Linked DNA regions of Rattus norvegicus. Each later gene encodes a partner of the first gene's protein in a complex. Links are inferred from orthologs where the notes say so. Each region holds a gene or a part of one and is shown on either strand. Other genes may lie near its edges. The genes, in order: Fgfr2 and Fgf8.

What was found.
Region 2: the proteins of Fgfr2 (region 1) and Fgf8 are in contact, whole or in part, in a crystal structure (PDB 2FDB), measured with the Homo sapiens proteins. The link is inferred for Rattus norvegicus from reciprocal best matches to the Homo sapiens genes FGFR2 and FGF8. Residues at the interface, in NP_000132.3 of Homo sapiens: Glu160, Lys161, Glu163, Lys164, Leu166, His167, Ala168, Val169, Pro170, Asn173, Asp247, Val249, Arg251, Ser252, Ser282, Asp283, Ala284, Gln285, Pro286, His287, Ile288, Gln289, Ile291, His293, Leu309, Val311, Leu312, Lys313, Ala314, Ala315; in NP_149354.1 of Homo sapiens: His53, Val54, Gln57, Asp62, Leu64, Ser65, Arg66, Leu68, Ile69, Arg70, Tyr72, Tyr75, Arg77, Gly80, His82, Val106, Glu107, Thr108, Thr110, Phe111, Gly112, Ser113, Val115, Thr148, Glu149, Ile150, Val151, Leu152, Glu153, Asn154.

What each region holds. Positions count from the first base shown.
Region 1 is NC_086019.1:194,274,231-194,278,033, reverse strand, and holds part of Fgfr2 (fibroblast growth factor receptor 2), read left to right. Parts: intron 1-745; exon of another isoform or gene 746-1,222; intron 1,223-1,363; 5' UTR 1,364-1,499; coding exon 1,500-1,665; intron 1,666-3,803. UniProt on the Homo sapiens protein: Tyrosine-protein kinase that acts as a cell-surface receptor for fibroblast growth factors and plays an essential role in the regulation of cell proliferation, differentiation, migration and apoptosis, and in the regulation of embryonic development.
Region 2 is NC_086019.1:254,532,755-254,536,657, forward strand, and holds the end of Fgf8 (fibroblast growth factor 8 isoform 2 precursor), read right to left. Parts: intron 2,221-3,903; coding exon 2,114-2,220; intron 1,216-2,113; coding exon 925-1,215; 3' UTR 750-924; downstream 1-749. UniProt on the Homo sapiens protein: Plays an important role in the regulation of embryonic development, cell proliferation, cell differentiation and cell migration. Required for normal brain, eye, ear and limb development during embryogenesis.

The DNA.
Region 1 (3,803 bases):
CTGTGCTTAAAAGACAGAAACAAACAACAGCTTCTTATTTCCCTCTTGGAGATGGTGCATCCTCTCTGCTTTTTAATCTCAGAGAAGGGTGAAAGGAACAGATCCTAGGATAGGGAGGGCTTCAGGGAGGTTCTGGCAGTGTCGATCGAAATCCTGTGTTCTAATTGAAAGCATCAAAAGTGTGGGATTAGACACCTCTCTCTTTCTCTCTAAAACGCTCACCCATTCCCAGTCTCATAAAATGTGCACACCACAGGATCCAAAGCCCATGGCTTTGTCCGATCCTTTCCTGTTTGAGCAGATTCTCTAAGAGCTTGTGCATTCTGACTCAAGACTGAGTCACTGAAGACACTGAACAAACGTAAAGCTATTTGTACTGTGGTAAGCTTTCTTGGGAAGTTCTCTGCTTTGGATCTAATGAGTTGAGTGCCCCCTGTAACTGATACTTGGGAAGTTTAGCCAATAGGTTACATATTGAAAGTTCGCAGGCCAATCACACACCACAAACTGCTTGTACATATCATCACCGTTCCTAATAGAATCTTGAATTATTCCTCAAGGTTTGTATCTGCTCTGTATCTTTACCCCTTTGACGTACGCTGAAGGTATTTAGTTAGTATGCCTGCCTGTACACTGCCGCGTAGTCAGTGGAAGGGAATTCAGGCTTTGAATCCCCCGGTTGGATTAAACTCACTCTTTGTAAGTGGCGGCTTGGCGAAAGATTGAAATACACGCCCGCGTTTGAAAATGAATTCTGACAAGTGTAAACTGGTGGGAATTTTTTTGTAGCCTTCCTGAGATTCTTTGATTCTGTCGGTCTCCTTTTCTTTCTGAGAACCATTCTGGAGCGGGGGACATGCAGCTCGGCTCAGCTGAAATGCGGCTCTCAGAGCAAACCCTTCCTCCAGTCAGCTTCTTAAAGGCCAGCTGGAATAAGAGAAGTTAATGAGGCTGGTCGTGCCAAGCCCAGCGTTTTAAACTCGGTTTTTTTTTTTTTTTTTGTTTTTTTTGTTTTTTTTTTTGCAGTTGTCCTTGAGAGGAAGGAAGGTCAAGTTGCTTCAGCAACCTGGTGGCTTGATAGTGGATGGAGGGGCGCACTGCATGGCTGGGTGGCTGGGTCCTATAGTGATGGTTTATCTTTGTGTGTCTTAAAAGTAAGCTTTTTGAAAAGATTGGTTTACTCCAGTTTGTGGACGCCTCTGGAAACACCTGGGACGCTGAGGTGAGGATGGAAGGCTTTTCCGATAATGAGAAAAAATGTGTTTGCGAATGTATTGAGAGGCTGAGAAACGGTTTTTATCCCATCTGGGTTTAAGCTGGCTGGCACGGGGGGAGAGACTGAATCTGGCTGATTCTCTTTCAGGGGCGGCCGCAGCAGCAGCAGCAGCGACAGCAGCAGCAACAACAGCCTGAGCAAGCCACAGCAGCGCCCTGGCTCCTGAGCCCCCCGTGGGCTGAAGGCATTGCAGGTAGCCCATGGTCCCTGAAGAAGTGTGCAGATGGGATTACCGTCCACATGGAGATATGGAACAGGACCAGGGATTGGCACCGTGACCATGGTCAGCTGGGGGCGCTTCATCTGCCTGGTCTTGGTCACCATGGCAACCTTGTCCCTGGCCCGGCCCTCCTTCAGTTTAGTTGAAGATACCACTTTAGAACCAGAAGGTAAGTTCTTGCATGTCATTTTAAGGGTACCAAGTTATTTTGGGGATGTGTCTGGGGGAAGTGGTCTTTGAACGGAAGGCCTATTTCAGCCTGCTGCCTTATGAGGGTGATCTCTCTCCACATCTTCCATATCAGACCGTAGAAGGGAGGGTCTTGGCTCCCAGGCATGAGTGGAGTGGTTTGATTTGCCCTGTTCTCTGTGCTTGGGTGAGGGAGGTGGCAGCAGTTCTTTGCAGCACTCTGGAGGGGACATACCCTGGCTGGGTGACTGTGGCCTTCTGCGGTTGCTTTTTTAGATGGAGGGAAAGCCTTGAATCCACTATCTTTTGGCTAAAGGAGATAGGCAGCCTCTGAAGGCTGACGTTTTCTCGAGTTGTTTAGGAGAAACAGTGGTTCTGAAGTTGAGCACCAAGAGCCGTGCCATGCTGGATTGAGTTTTAAGCTGCTGTAAGCTTTGTGCTTACGTCCAGTATCACAGAGGGGCAGGCTTTATGCTGGGAAGATTCGAAAGTGAATTGGCCAAGAGCCTCCCCCATCCGAGGAAACGCCAGATTTCACTAGTGTTTGGCTCTGCACACTTGGTTGCAGATGAGAAATAGGCTAGTTGTGAGGAGGAGAAGATGGCTGAAAATCCTGAGCTGGGCAAAGAGCTGGTCCTTCTCCCAGGTCCTTCAGAGCCGGGGTCCATAGCCAAGCCTCTCTGCTTGGTGCAGCATGGGAATCTGTCATCGGGAAGGAATATTGGTAGGCGAGTTATTTTTTGAGTGGTAATCCGAGCGTGACACTGCAGATCGCAGCACTCATCGCCACTTAATGAACGTGTTTGCCGAGGGCCCACCTGGTGCCGGCTGGCTTTGGAGTCCGTTATGGTCCTGAGTGCTGGCGGGTCAGCTGAGTTGCTGTTGTTACACACCCTGAATCAGGGTCCTGAGGAGCAGTTCGTCCAGAGGGGGATGGTAAGGGGTGGGGACAGAAACCCCACCCCCCAAGGATGTCCCCAAGGAGGGCTTGTATCCATCTAAGAGGGGTCCCCAGTAAGATCCACTCAGGCATTCTCACTGGCTTTGTGTGAATGAGACGTGTGTGTGTGTGTGTGTGTGTGTGTGTGTGTGTGTGTGTGTGTGTGAGTGAGTGAGGTGGGGTGGGGTGGGGTGTGGGGGATGGGTAGATGGGTGGGTGGGGGGAGGGCACACAGATGCCTGAAAATGTTATAAATTGCCAGGTGTCTTTGGAAAGGAAATGTGGTAGGAGCTTGTGTTCAGGGTTCAGCATACAGCCTCACACCCATTTTTGGAATCACCTCTTTGTAACTTATCCTGTGACGTCAGGGAAAGTGTAATTTGCAACAGGGACACGTTTTTCAAAGGGTTTAATGCGAGAGGAAAGGATTGGGTTTCTGAAAGTCTGGTCTGTACTTCTTTAATTTTGCTAATAATTAAAATGGATGTTCCTCTAATTGCTGGTTTTCCCTGGAGTGTGTGGTTCAGCACAAACCGAGGAAGCTGAGCCGAGGTTTCCTACGGCGTGGGCTTCAGAAACAGCCCCGTTAGGAAAGAATTGTCATTTTTCATCTGGACTCTCGGGGCAGTGTTGCTGTGAGTTGATTTCAGTGCAGGGTATAAAATGGTCCTGGACTCCATCTAATTACCTGAGAAAGGTTACAAGGTGTTTTTATGCGCAGGGAGAAGACAGGTGGGGGAGAGGAAGGACAGTGGGCTGGAGTCCCCCAAACGGCTCTTTGTGTAAGAACTGATATCCAACAATGCTCACATTGTTGAAAGCAGGTCCTCCACCTGGGGACCTGTAGGTACATGTGAGGTTAGGGAGGAAGGCTGAGAAGCCCCAGAAGTTGTAGGTCACACTTTGCCAATGCCCCTGGGTACACTTCACTAGGTTCAGGGTTTGCATGAGATTCGAATCACAGCCAGAGTCGGGAGATGCTGAGGAGAAGGAGAGAAAGAACAGAAAACCGTCTTAAGGTGTGGAGCTTCTCCAGCGCGGGCTTGGAAAATGCAGAGAAGTCTCAGAGCCTGGATTGGTTCTTCTGCTACTGAGTTCGGTGGCACCAATCGTCATCGAACAGTAATGTCCCCAGGCGCCTTCTGAGGTTAAGTTTTCACCAGTGACCTGGACAGAAA
Region 2 (3,903 bases), about 60 Mb from region 1:
GGCCTGGCTCTCCCAAAGTTGACTCAGCGCCATGTCAACAGCAGCCTAGGCAGTGCTCCCTACCCCCAACCCCTTGGACACTGGGTAATTGCTCTTCAGCTTTTGAAGTCAGGTTCTATAGACTATAATCAGTTCTATGGCCTCTGTCCTGTTACTCATATAGATTAGAGCTACAGAGCCAAAGGGGCTCCCAACCTGTCACCCACAGAGGACTCCAGCATGTGCTTCATTTTGGCCCTGGGGCTTGGGAAGTGTTAGAGCAAGGTGGTCCCCATCTGAGAGATCCAAGGCCAGCTCAGAATCTTTCTGTGCCCCCTAGCTGTCTTCCCCACAAAACCCTTTCAGTGGAATAGAAGAGAAAGCTGGCAAACAGTTCCTTAGATGGAGGTTGGCCTTGGACCTGCAGTTGGGACAGCACCGTAGGAAGGGGCTATTCCTGGCAGGACTCAAGCTCCAACACACACTTCTACTATGCAAGTTAAATTAACACTTTAGTCATTTAATAGTAACCAGTACACAACCACCCCTCACTGACACCCACCCCAAGGGACTGACCTAGGCCTAATCTTTTTTTTTTCTCCCTACCCTTGCCTGGGGTACAGAGTGGCCTTGGTTGGCCTGACCAGGTGCCCTGCCAGTGCTGGGACTTCAGACTAGAGAGCCCTCCACCCCAGGGAGCCCCAGAGCAACCCAGCCTTAGGTCACCAGTGGGCTTTCCTGAGAGCTAAGAAGACAGACACCACAGCCAGTGGAATACAAAAATAGAGCCTCTCTTTTGTTTAAAAAACAGAACAAAACAAAACAAAAAACCCAACAGCAAACAATATGCACAACTAGAAGGCAGCTCCCCAGCTCCTCCCCTTCGCAGTGCGGCCGAGCTCTCCCTGGAGTCCGCAGGCAGGCAGGGAGGGGCCGGGCGAGCGCCTATCGGGGCTCCGGGGCCCAAGTCCTCTGGCTGCCGCGCAGGCTGCGCGTGAAGGGCGGGTAGTTGAGGAACTCGAAGCGGAGGCTCTGCTCTGTGGTGTGGTGGCCCCGCGGCAGGCGCTTCATGAAGTGCACCTCGCGCTGGTGCTGGCGCGTCTTGGAACCCTTGCGGGGCCGGCCCTTGCGGGTAAAGGCCATGTACCAGCCCTCGTACTTGGCGTTCTGCAGCGCCGTGTAGTTGTTCTCCAGCACGATCTCCGTGAACACGCAGTCCTTGCCTTTGCCGTTGCTCTGCAGGTAGTTGGGGGGTAGGGGTGAGGGGGCAGACGAGGTGTTACAGAGCCTCCCTCCTAGTGAGGCAGAGGGCCAGCGGCCCCAGACAGCAGGTGGGCACCCCAGCAGATGGCAAGGGGAGCCTGAGCCCGGCCCCACCCCCTACCCGGGCACCCGTTCTCTAATCCCTCACAACCCACAGCCCACCCGGCAACTTCCTGTCCTCCTGGGCAGCAGTGACACATGGCTCTCCACGGAGGGGCTGGGCCCGAGGCAGAGGGGCCCAAAGCCTGCCTGTTCTGGCCTACTGCCCACCAGTCTGGCCTGGGTTGCGGGAGTTTCTCCACCTGCCCCCCAACTCCCCAGCATCTCTGGACTCAGAATCAGCCCCCCCACTCACCCGGGACAGACACCCTATGTGGGGGAGGGGAAGCCTAGGAGGGACTCTGAGGCCCAGGCCCTGAAGCCTAGGAAGTGGGGAGCTTGAGACTGGAGAGGAGCCGTGACTAATGGGGTCATTTCAGAGCTAGGCCGAGGGGCTGGGCCTGCGGCTTACTGAACATTCCAAATGCTGGTACCATGTAATTGGACATAATAGCAAAGCAATTTGGCGATTTGTAAAAAAGATATATGGAATTTGCATCACCACCCCCATCCCCTTCCCTAGCCTTCCTCCATCTTCTTCATAGGTTTTAGTCTCTCTCTCTCTCTCTCTCTCTCTCTCTCTCTCTCTCTCTCTCTCTCTCTCTCTCGTTTCTTTCTCTTAGTCCTCCCGTCTAATCATTAGGCAAACCCTGAGGTAACCAAGGTACCATCCATGCCTCTCCAGACTCACCTTGCTGGGATTAAAGTGTACTAGAGAGGCTCAGTCAGTCCATGCCACCTCTCAAACCCCACTTCCCTTCTGGAGCCTCACCTTGGCGATTAGCTTCCCCTTCTTGTTCATGCAGATGTACAGACCGGTCTCTGCTCCGCGGACTCGGACTCTGCTTCCAAAAGTATCGGTCTCCACAATGAGCTTTGCTGTCAGGATAGTTATGGGAATGGATGGTCAGTAGATCTGTGACCTCTGTGCTCTATAGCTTTATCAGGGATGCACCCTATCCCTGGAACAACCGTTCCAAGGGCGAGAAACACAAAACACAGCTCCAGCCCAGTCCATTTTCGGACGCACTGGATAGCCCTAAGGAAGATGGACTCTTCAGGACCTGAGACTCCACCTCTGGGCTTGCAAAGGGTCTGGGACAAATAACAGTTTACAGGGTAAGTTTCATAGATAGGTTTGGATGCATTGAATCTCCATTCCTTTAGCCCCTTTTTCCATGCTAGAAGCTTTTTCTTTTTTCTTTTCTTTTCTTTTTAAGGTCGAGGTGCCAAGTAAAATTTAAGCTATGTAGATTCCATAGCTGTTTGAGAGGTCTCTGAATATCCTTCCAACCTAGAATATGAGCTCACACCCCACAGATCATTAAGAACATCTGGGAACAGTGGTAACCTCCTATCATGAAGCTAAAGGTAAAAACATCCACTGTTCCTTCCCAGTCAGGTCTAATTCCCAGCCCTGGCCATCCTTCACCCCTTGGGCAGGCTTGTTCTGCAAGAAATGGCAGAGGAGGCTGGAGAGATGGCCCAGCATGCTGTTCCTGTAGGGGGCCAAAGTTCAGTGCTCACAACTGCCTGGGACTCTAATTCCAGGGGGTCACACACACACACACACACACACACCATACATACATACATATATAGTTCAAAATAAGAGACTCAGAGAAGAGGCGGAAGAGGGTGCTTTTCCCTATACAGACTTTAGCAGCCTGCTGTCTGGAACCAGACTCAGATCCTGCCCTTCTCCTTCAGGTTGCCAATCTTTGGAGTCCAGCTCCAACACGTACAGACTCTGACAACTCATCATTGTCTTTTCTCTCTTCACCTCCATTATAGCAGGGTCTCTTAGGCATTGGCCAAAGCTTTCAGAGGTGAAGCTTTCAGAATTCAGGGCTGAATTCTGTGCCCTCCTCTACTTCCTGTTCACATGAACAGCCTGCTTGCCCCAAAAGCTGCTCCCAACCACCTCTTCCTATAATTGCTCTCTTAGAGGCTATTCCCAAGGAGAGAGGAAGAGCTGAATTAGATGGTGGAGCAGCAGAGACTGCGTCTCCTGCCTGCCCTGCCTCAAAGCCCAGACCTTTTCCTCCTTGAGAAAGCAGTCCTATCTTGACAAGTGGCTCTCTATATACAACCAATACCAGTGGTAAGGAGGCACAGGGACCACCAGGGAAGGCCTCACAATGCCTAGCCCCTGATTGCCTATTTCACATAGACACAAAAGTGGGATGCAGAAGCTGAAGTCCTCAGTCTGTCCCCAAAGTCAGCTGGGAGGAACAACTGTTTACCTCTCCTTCTGCTCACCTCTCCAGGCAAACTGTTGATTCCTCTCATGTCTGCTTTGTAAAGCAAGAAGCAATTGCTTCATGGCCAGGGAAAGATGCCGGCTAGAGGGGGTTACAGGACCCTGCTCTGAGTATCATATTGCAGAGTGGGTACCTCTGCCCATTCTCGGCTCCTGACGTAGCAATTGGGACCTCTCCTCTGCTTTCTTCAGTCTGTGTACCTTAATGCCTCTTTCATGGGCCTTTTGGAGGCCCAGATTCAAACTTCTGCCCTTCAGGCAGAAACCAAGAAATCCTGGAAGCCTCCTCTGGGTCTGAA